2 linked regions of the Nothobranchius furzeri genome follow. The protein of the gene in region 1 interacts with the protein of each later gene in a biochemical or structural test. Links are inferred from orthologs where the notes say so. Each region holds a gene or a part of one and is shown on either strand. Other genes may lie near its edges.

Evidence for each region.
Region 2: the proteins of shc1 (region 1) and inpp5d form a complex in vitro, tested with the Homo sapiens proteins (2 studies listed by BioGRID and IntAct, with this or other methods). The link is inferred for Nothobranchius furzeri from reciprocal best matches to the Homo sapiens genes SHC1 and INPP5D.

Annotation. Positions count from the first base shown.
Region 1 is NC_091745.1:78,656,438-78,661,766, forward strand, and holds the start of shc1 (SHC-transforming protein 1), read left to right. Parts: upstream 1-2,196; 5' UTR 2,197-2,414; coding exon 2,415-3,011; intron 3,012-5,329. UniProt on the Homo sapiens protein: Signaling adapter that couples activated growth factor receptors to signaling pathways. Participates in a signaling cascade initiated by activated KIT and KITLG/SCF.
Region 2 is NC_091756.1:60,958,078-60,963,439, forward strand, and holds the start of inpp5d (phosphatidylinositol 3,4,5-trisphosphate 5-phosphatase 1), read left to right. Parts: upstream 1-2,185; 5' UTR 2,186-2,310; coding exon 2,311-2,462; intron 2,463-2,855; coding exon 2,856-2,919; intron 2,920-5,362. UniProt on the Homo sapiens protein: Phosphatidylinositol (PtdIns) phosphatase that specifically hydrolyzes the 5-phosphate of phosphatidylinositol-3,4,5-trisphosphate (PtdIns(3,4,5)P3) to produce PtdIns(3,4)P2, thereby negatively regulating the PI3K (phosphoinositide 3-kinase) pathways.

The DNA.
Region 1 (5,329 bases):
TCATCTTTGGTTTCTCTAGCTGTATGACCGACTGTTTTGTTTTGAAGTATTCTGCGTCCCTTTGATGGTCTAAACACTGGGTGTCAGCCATACTTCTTTACAGCTTTCTGGAGAACATCCCAGCCTCTCTGGCAGTGCATTTACTGGATCCTTCCTGGTGCTTCCTGGCCAAGACCAGATGGAGGGATCGCTAGAACTGCTGGACAGTCCCTCTGTGGTGCTAGACTAATGTAGGCGACTGTTCCTTCTGCCATGCGTCCAGCGCCTTCTACAGCCTCGAGCGCTGTGGCTCATTTCTGAAATGACAACAGGAAGTGTTGGCATTACTGAGACATCAGTGCCATACTCACAACCTTAATTTGACTTGTCTGGATAATAAGTGTGTCATTTGTTGGTGATTGTAAAGGTTGGTGTGTTGTACGTTTGAATAATGCCTCTACAGCACTAAGGTGTAGGCCAGCCGGCTGGCTGAGGGTTGTAGGTGTGGCCTTGCCTCCTACTGAGGTCACTTTGGAGACTATTAATAAAACAGACTGTACTTTAGATTGGACTATGCAGAATATGAGATGCTTGTGGGCTTAACTTGCTTGATAAGCCTTAGAAAAATAGGGACGCTGTTCTGGATTATAGCACGGCGATTCGTTCATATCGGTGTCAATACTGTTCTCTCAGGTAAACAACTATAATCTGTGTCCATGCTAGTACCGAGTCAGGAGCTGAGTGCAGTCTTAACCCAGCGGGTTCATTTACAACACCAGTGGGTCTCCATTCAGGGAACCCTAAGTTGGGGGTCCAAGCCTGACCAATCAGGGCTTGTTATCGTCTCAACAGGCCCACCGGTAGTCATCGTCATCCTATGACCTACATTCTGCCGTGTTACATCACCACTGTGCTACTGCAGTGTGTCTCGCTGTACCAGACAGACATCTCAGACTCAACTTTACCACGATCAAATGGTGCTCCAGCAACAAAACACACCGTGACCAAGGTGGCCAGTTCTACAGAACACACGAACCAAGGCAGGCCATTTCAGGAACCTCAGTCAGGAACGGGCTCAGCTCTAAGCCCAGTCTTAATTACTAACTTTTCACTTTCTTTTGGTTTTATATCGGCGTCTAAAGCCAACATGTCTAGCCTCTAGCCATCCGCGGTCCTTAACGTAAAGAGGCGCAACGACAGGGCTCAGTATTTAGCATACAAGTGTGGGACTGTTAAACAAGGCAGCCTGGAGAACGGGCGAGCAATCGAGGGAGGGGGAGAGGGGGACCGAGAGATCGTTTGGAAGAGGAGAGAGGAAGTGGTGGCACGGGAGAGGGCGGAGGCGTTGGAGAAGCAGAGGCTGGCAGAGTACATCGTGTGGAGGAAGAGAGAGGACTTCCAGGATAAGAGAGGAGAAAGAGAGAAGGGAGGGAAGAGCTCAGAGAAGGGAAGGGAGTCTTCACCAGAAGTGATCTGGAAGAGGAGAGAAGAAGGAGACGTTGGGAGGGAGAGAGCAAGGGCCATTCAGAGAGGACATGAAAGCATCTGGACGAAGGGGGAGAGGGAGTAGAAAGGGGAGCCAGATTTAAGAATAGTCGTGAAAAGTTGAAGCGACTGCACGACTGCAGAGTTTGAGAGCCTCCTCTCTCTTCTTCCGTGGCTCTGCAGGTGTTCGCTGTATTATCGACCAGCCGAGGTTGTGTTTTATGTGTTGCTGCTGTGTTAGCGTGTGCAGCCCCTTCTGCAATCCCCTTGTTGGCTGCTAATAGGAATTTTACAGGCCTATGTCAAGCGTGATAGAGCTGCCAAAGGGGAGCTGCTACACACACGCACACACACTCGGTTTACACTGCCATGTAGACGCGTCACAAACTGATGTACACACCTTTTTGTGCAGTAACACACACACACACACACACACACACACACACACACACGCACAAGGAGCATTCAGAGACAATCACTTGTGTTGGTTCGTCGTGGTGCTGGCGACAGCTGAATAGTCGTCCGGCACTCGGAGACGATTAAGTTGGGACGAGAAATCGTTTAGCATCGTGGCTGAAGACCATCGCTCTACGGAGAGCTGAGAACGTGTTTTCGTCCATTCAGGGGAACTCGGCGAACAAAAGCAAAAAACACCAAAAGAAACTGATGACAACATGAGCTGTTCTGGTGCTCTACAACACTTTTTTCATCTGCTCCCCACCGCTGCTGAGGAGGCCCCACCTTTCCGCAGCACCTCCTCTCCTCCTGCTCTCAGTGTGGATAAAGCCAGTTGTGAAGCGGTTTGGTGCGGGCTGCCTGAGCGGCGGACAGATGGACGCAGCTCCTACACAGACAGATACTTGAGTGTCCTTCCAGAGAAAAACTTTGAGTCGTGAGACAAAAAGACTTGGCTTGAAGCTCTGCAGCCTAAGAGGACCTATAAATAATACATGATGGAGCTCATGCAGAAAACCAAGTACACCCACATTCGGAGTGAGTCGCTGAGCTCAACAGATGAGACCAACTCCATTCCGTCGCCGTTCCCTCCATCCAGCCCCGCCACCCCTCTGACTCCCTCCCCTGGTTTGCCTTCTTCCTTCTCCTCCTCGTCTCTCACTGCCATTTTGCCCCCCACCTCCCCGCGCCCAGCTGAGAACAGCCCCACCACCCTCTGCTCCTTCTTCCCCAGTATGAGATCCCTTCGTCTCGGGGTCACTGGCACTCTTCTCCCAGTGCCCAGGTTCTCAAACAGGTCTCAGCAGTCCCAGGCACCTGTTGAGTCATCTGGAGATGATAGGAGCAACTCTAGCTCCTCCCCTACTCTTCATCAACCCATTCCCACACTAACTGCTCCCTCTCCCCCTCGCCGACCTCCTCTGCAGGACATGAACCGGCTCGGAGGAGCGTCCAGGAGGGCACGGGTGGAAGGAGGGCAGCTGGGAGGAGACGAGTGGACGCGCCATGGCTCCTTTGTCAACAAGCCCACCCGTGGCTGGCTGCATTCTGACAACGTGATCAGCACCACGGGAGTTTCCTATACTGTTCGGGTGAGTGAGTGGCACACTTCAACTGTCCAGCCTGTATTTTTATTATTATTTTTTATTTATTTATTTATCTCAAACCATCGAAAACATGAAATTGCATATGCACTCCCCCATATTCCTGGTGCATACAAAAAAAAATTTTTTTTTTTTTAAATGAGGAATACGATAAACATATGCTGTTGAATGAAACAATACAAAACATACAATAACATAAAACCATTTGAGAGGGAACTGGAAGAAGCAAAAGCTTATCTAGTCCAGCCCCAATTCAGTTAATAAATCACATTTGCTCACATTAACAAATTTGAAAGAAAAAAAAAATTCTTTATGCAGGTCGTTCTATCTTCACCTTGCTAGTTGCTACATAAAAAGACAGTTACAAAACAATTGTTCACATGAATCTACAGAAAAAAGAAAACAAAACCAATAAACAACAAAAACAAAATATTCCATTTGAAGCCAATTACCATTTTTATCACTTGCTATTTACGTATGAGTCAATTATGAGTTGTTTATACAACATTTTAAATGATCTAATGTTTTTACATAATTTTAAAGTCACATCAAGTTTGTTCCACAGTTTGATACCACATACAGATACACACATACTTTTCATAGTTGTTCGGTATAATGGAAAAATGAAGTTTTTAACGCCTCTCAATTCATAACCCTCTTCATGAGTTTTAAACAACCTTTGCAAATTACACGGCAGTACACCCATCATGGCCCTATACGGTACAAGGACAGTTTTAAATTGAATTAAGTCAAAAAATTTGAGTAATCTTAAATTGTAGAATAATGGAGTTGTATGATCTCTATATCCAGAATTTATAATTATCCTTACCACTCTTTTTTGGAGAACACAAATCTTTAATAAATTAGATTTATAAGTATTGCCCCATACTTCGACACAATATGATAAGTATGGTAGAATCATAGTACAATAAAGTGTGTGTAGTGCTTTCTGTGGTAGAGAATATCTTGTTTTATTTATTATTCCAATGCTTCTGGCTAATTTAGAACACACATATTGTATGTATGGCTTCCAACAGAGCTTATGATCAATCAATATCCCCAAAAACTTAATTTCATACACTCTTTCAATGGCTATTTCATTAACAGTCAAATAGATTTCTTTACTACTTCTTTTATTTCCAAATAACATCAACTTTGTTTTGCTGACATTTAACGACAGTTTGTTTTTATCAAACCAATTCTTAAGCTCACTCAATTCATTCTGGACCTTTAGTATAAGTTGCTGTATATCTTCTGCTGAACACAAAATATTTGTATCATCAGCAAACATAATAAATTTAAATAATTTTGAAGTTGTGTAAATATCATTTATATATAACAGAAATAACTTTGGGCCAAGTACCGACCCTTGCGGAACTCCACAGTGAACTTCGAGACAGCTAGACTTGTGATAGCCCAACTGCACATACTGAGCTCTGTTACTCAAATAACTTTTTAGCCAATTGAGAGCTGTCTCCCTTATACCACACTTCTCCATTTTTGATAAAAGTATTTTGTGATCGACTGTATCAAAGGCTTTCTTCAAATCAATAAAAATTCCCAGTAGAGCCCTGCACGGGCCTAAAATCTGAGCCCGTGTCCGGCCCGGCCCGAGGGGGTGGAGCCCCAGCCCGACCCGGCCCAAAAAGGTTTTCAGGATTCTCTGGCCCGGCCCGAGCCCAAGCCCGACTTTTTTTTAACCAACTAAATGAAAACAAAGTGCGTCAATCCTGACCAATGTGTTAAAAGACGTGCAGGATCCGAGCGTCGCAGAAGCGCATGCGGGAAGCTTACTTCCACTGAAGCGAGTGTTTTCCAAACCCTGTCTCTCAGAGAGACTTGTCACTTAGAAAATGTTCCCTGATTATGAAACTTTGGCTGAATAGCGCTTGTTCCTGTCTCCAATGTGCGACACATCCAGGAGCCGTCTGAGGAGAATCCCAGAATCTCACATCCTCTTCAGCTCATGAGCGCATATGATTACGCACAAGCGTGACCCAACACGGTCTCACAGTAAGACTGGGTTGGACCTGTTCAGGTTTACGCAGACAATCTTCACATAGAATTGACTTACAGATATAAAATTAATGCAGTAAAATATAAAGCATTTTATTTAAATATCCATTCATTATTTTACAAGCACAGAGAGCCGCATCAGATGGATGGAAGAGCTGCGGGTTGCCGATCCCTGCTCTAGTTCAAGATATCATTAAAATTCCAAAAGTGCTGAAAAGATTAAAAATGGGGCTTTTCGTGCACATACAATACATTATGGTAGCCACCGGGATTCCCTGTCTTGAGCGCAA
Region 2 (5,362 bases), on another chromosome or scaffold:
GTAAAGCTCTTTGGAGTCCTTACTCTGAGAGGCGCTACACAAGTGCGGGTCATTTATCATTCATCATTCGTCACAAAACGATCTAATTCATGGATTGCCCGCTTCATGATCACGTGGCGTGCGACACAGATGGATGAAAATCTACTTTTAGAGCTGGGATGTTAACTCTCACGGTGCGCAAACTCATTCCCACAATGGCAGTGATTGAGTTAAGAACTAACTTTTCTTTTGTTTTCTGTTGATAGCTATACACAAGTCATGTAAAGAGGCTTTAAAAACTCTTAAAAACTTTTGAATCCCAAGTCCCCATGTTTTATTTTTTCTATTGTATTATTTTGGACTACTCAAATATCCTGCTGCTGCCTCCCTTGGAAGTTTTGTGAACTATTATTCATTCATTTCCGCCGAAGACAAAATGCAGAAGTGTGATAAAGGTCTACAGTAGAAGTATAATCCTCCTTTGTTCATAAATTCTTGTCTAATTAATTAACCTGCAATCAAATCAGCTTATGAATATTTGAGTTGTGTGTCTTTGTTACATCATGAATGGGAAGAGGTGTGATGACTTGCAGTGACGTCGGTGTTGGACAACTTCAAAATGAAATGTGTACGTGCCCAATCTTAATCTTGTACATTAATCGTAAGACGAATGAAACACACTGTTGTTAGTTATTTTTAGTATCGTCGCTATTGTTTATATTTAAACTGTATTTAGCTCTGTTATCAGCTGGTGTCATGGGTGATTCTGCAGGTTGAGTGCTTTGCAGTCTTGTTTCTGGTTTTATTGTATTTTTGGTACTTCCTGTTTTATTTTGTGCATTCACTTCCTGTCTCATTACAGGCAGCTTCACGACATGAGGCTCCTCACTAATCTGCCTCATGTCTTGCACCTGGGTCCTGGCTTCTCCATTTAAGCATCTTTGCAACAGTTTCCTTTGCCAGTTTGTCTTCTTCAGTTGAGTACTGTGAACCTGCTCTCAGTAACACTTTGTGAGAGTGTATTTGGTTAGTTTTGGACTTGTTCAGTTGTGCTGTACTGCCAGGAATCCCTTCTGCTGATTAAAACTGTGTGAGCTCTGCATTTGAGTCCTCTTTGTGCTTTGATAGCTGGAAACCTTTATGATGGTTTTCTGATCTTTTGAATCAAAACCCTTTAGGATGTGATCAGATACTTGGAGTTGTTGGAAGTTGTGGCTCCAAACACACCCCGCATGCCTGCATGTGGAACATATGAACTGTCTCCATGCAAAATAGCAATGCAAACGTGAGTTTTGAAAAAAAAAACTAATGTTTTCATTGTTTGTCCTCTATGATTCTCTGGTGTACATATGTTGTTTTTCAGGTTTTCTGCTCCACTGTTGCATGACTTGACTGAACACTTCAATGATTATGTTTGGCAGCATTACTGAGGTATAACAACGGTTCAGTTTGGACACGGATTCTTATTTTGCTCTCTATAGTTCTGAGTAAGGTTGCAGTAGCCTTAAACCTGCTTTAAATGGAGGCCCAGTAACCTCCAAGACTTGCCACCACGTAGTTCTGTTTTCATGTCATGTGACCCATGCTGTGGTTTGTAAGCGGCTCATTTTTTCCTCCTGTTTCTGCAAGACTTCCTGTCCATCACATGAACACAGCCAGTCACCTTGAATGCGTATTTCCTGAACGTACATGCTGTGTGTAGAACCTGGCATTTTCATTACCCAGGATTAAAAATGGTGCCAGTTCCATTCAGGCTGAGGGATTTTCCGTGGATAAGTGTGGGGTTTTTACTGTCAGAGACCAAGAATTATCAGGGTTTTAAAAAATAAAAAACACCTCCAAAAATCTGTCGTTTGGAGTCTTTTCTACCGCTACAGTGCAATTACAAAGTGTCATTGGGTTTTTGCTTATGCTCCCACTTTCACTTCATCTAACTCAGTTATTTAATTATTTATTCCCATATTTGACATTTCCTGATCAGAATAAACACTTACATATGGTATATTAGTACACAGGGCCTACCAAGCGACGTGTGTTAGTTATTAGACGTGTGATGAAAGCTGTTCCTGTGCAAATGAAACTTTGCATCTCCATTTTACAACACTGAGATCAAGACAGCAAGCGCCAGGGCCCTCCTCTCTGTAACTTCTCAAATGAGGAAGTTCAGAGCAGAGCTCAAAGCTGCTTCCTTTTGCAGCTAGAAGAGGCGCAGAATGATCAAGCGCTAGAGCCGAAAGCTGAAAAGTTGCCACAGAAAAAGAAGTCTGTATTAGATTGTTTGATTTCTAAAATTTTAGAGCAGATGCTAAAAACTTGAGCTGAGGCTCTTGGATGAGTAACAGAATGCCAGGTTTTCCACCTTGGTACCATGACAGTTTAACGCGATCCAAAGCTGAGGATTTACTCTCCAAAGCAGCAAGAGATGGAAGCTTCCTAATCCGGGACAGCGAGTCTGTACAGGGAGCTTACGCCCTCTGTGTTTTGTGAGTAACTTTTATTTAATTAATAGAGATGTAGCTAATAGATTATCTCTTAACCTGATGACTCGTGTTCACAGAACACCTGTGCTGTGGGCTCTGAAGGAGGGGTGTATGGCTCCTTTACATGTTTCCTATGTTAAGCACTTTCACATCACATACACACACAAACACACACACATGTATGCATATACACACTCACACACTGGTTCCCCTTTTTTGCATCCTGTGGTGCTCAATAACTTCACCCTTTGCCTGCTGCGCCTCTTTTGTGTAAAATCATGACGTGGTGAACTTTATTTTTAAGAAGCCACTGAATGTGTTGGCTAAAGTTTCTCATCCTTCATACTGTTTGCTTTATTTCACCGACTGACATTTGCATTTTGTTGCCAACCACAGATATCAGAACTGTGTGTACACGTACAGAATCCTGCCAAACGAGGACAAGAAGCTCTCTGTTGAGGTAGGTAAACAGTCTGGCTAAAGGTCGGACGATTAAACGAACAGGATGATGTAAATGTCTATAAATAAATAAAAACAGGATCTCCGGTCTTCGGATACAACTGTTACTGTTAAACTGCAACCTATTGGACAGATGCACCAAGGTGCAATCTAGTCTTCCAAAGGTTATTAGAAGCCGTCTTTGGTTACATTTGCACTGTTGATTTTTAACAACATTAATGGTCCTCAGAGAACGAAAGCTTGAAATTACTCTCCATCAAGGGCAAAAGAGTAGAAAGATGTATTGCATGGTACCCCATTGTTCGTCATTAACTAGAAGAATAAAACTTATCTTTGAGCCGTTGTACAGATATTTTGTCGGACCATATTAGCCTCGAGGCAGTCTCTGCTCCCACATCAAACCAATCTCTCTTGGGCCCTTTGATCAGCTCCATCCAGAGGGTAATTGACTAATGACTTATGCATTTGGGAAAAGTTGGGGGGGGGGGGGGTCTGGTTGGTTGGATGTCTGGTTGGTTGGATGTACATATTATTTTGGGGTGGGATTGAGAAGGTGGCCTCTGGCTCTATGGGGCTCTGGTGCTGCTGCCATGGGCCCTGGGTAGAGAGGCCAGGGCTCTCCCCTTGGTGGATTTGGGTAAAGGGTGTGTGTTGGGGTCAGTGGGGGAGCTGCCTGGCTCAGAGGGCTTCAACACCACATTGGAGATGGTGGAAAAAGACTTGGGGTCTTTTCACGCCCCAGTTCCCTGCTCACACCCCAGAGCTGGAGGCTGGGAGTGGGAGCTGGCCATTTAATCAGCGTCTGTGATGATCTGTTGCTTTGTGACTCCGGTGGGCAGGGTGGTGTGCTCATCATCAATCCCAGATCCTGTGCTGGGTGATAGGACACCTGCTGGCTTGCTCCCCACAGCTTTTTGGTGGTCTAGGCTGTCAGCCTCTGCTAGGTCTCTGTCATGGTCTGAGCACCCAGAGTCAATGAGTCATCTGGGCCGGTGTCAGTACGGATCTGCTCGGGTGCAAGATCGGCTCGGGGTCCTTCGACTGCCGATGACGTCAAAGTTCGGCAAGCCCACTCGGACAAAATACACTACTCATCTATACTGTTGGAAAGAATTGAGCAGTTTTGTTATTAAAATAATGTTTCTTAAGACGTACGTTTGTGTTTATAATGGTATTTGTAAAATAAAACACTATATTGTATTCATAATGTTGAACTCCTCTTTGAGCACATCCCTTGAAGAATCATAGGTATTAGCAACACCTATGAAATTGTATTTGCAGGAAAGAAGTGTGTCCCGTTTATTGAAGTATTTTGTGTTTAGAGTTTTTGACATCTTGTCCATGCGTAGTTCAGGTACGCTCATAGCTGCTAGCCAAAACTCGTCTTTGTCTTCTTCTTCGTCTTCCTCCGCTTATCCGGGTCCGGGTCGCGGGGGCAGCATCCCAATTAGGGAGCTCCAGGCCGTCCTCTCCCCGGCCTTGTCCACCAGCTCCTCCGGCAGGACCCCAAGGCGTTCCCGGACCAGATTGGAGATGTAACCTCTCCAACTTGTCCTGGGTCGACCCGGGGGCCTTCTGCCGGCAGGACATGCCCGAAACACCTCCCCGGGGAGGCGTCCAGGAGGCATCCTGACCAGATGCCCAAACCACCTCAACTGGCTCCTTTCGATCCGGAGGAGCAGCGGTTCTACTCCGAGTCCCTCCCGAATGTCCGAGCTCCTCACCCTATCTCTAAGGCTGAGCCCGGCCACCCTACGGAGGAAACTCATTTCGGCCGCTTGTATCCGCGATCTCGTTCTTTCGGTCATTACCCAAAGCTCATGACCATAGGTGAGGATTGGGACGTAGATCGACCGGTAAATCGAGAGCCTGGCTTTCTGGCTCAATTCCCTCTTCCCCACGACAGATCGGCTCAGCGTCCGCATCACTGCAGATGCCGAACCAATCCGCCTGTCGATCTCCCGATCCCTCCTACCCTCACTCGTGAACAAGACCCCGAGATACTTAAACTCCTCCACTTGAGGTAGGACCTCTCCCCCGACCCGGAGGTGGCAAGCCACCCTTTTCCGGTCGAGAACCATGGTCTCAGATTTGGAGGTGCTGATCCTCATCCCAGCCGCTTCACATTCGGCCGCGAACCTACCCAGCAAGAGCTGAAGGTCAGAGCTGGATGAAGCTAGGAGGACCACATCATCCGCAAAAAGCAGAGACGAGATTCTCCTGCCACCAAACTCGACACACTCCACACCACGGCTGCGTCTAGAAATTCTGTCCATAAAAGTGATGAACAGAACCGGTGACAAAGGGCAGCCCTGGCGGAGTCCAACCCTCACTGGGAACAGGTCCGACTTACTACCGGCTATGCGGACCAAACTCACGCTCCTCTGGTAAAGGGACTGAATGGCCCTTAACAGAAAGCCACCCACCCCATACTCCTGGAGCGT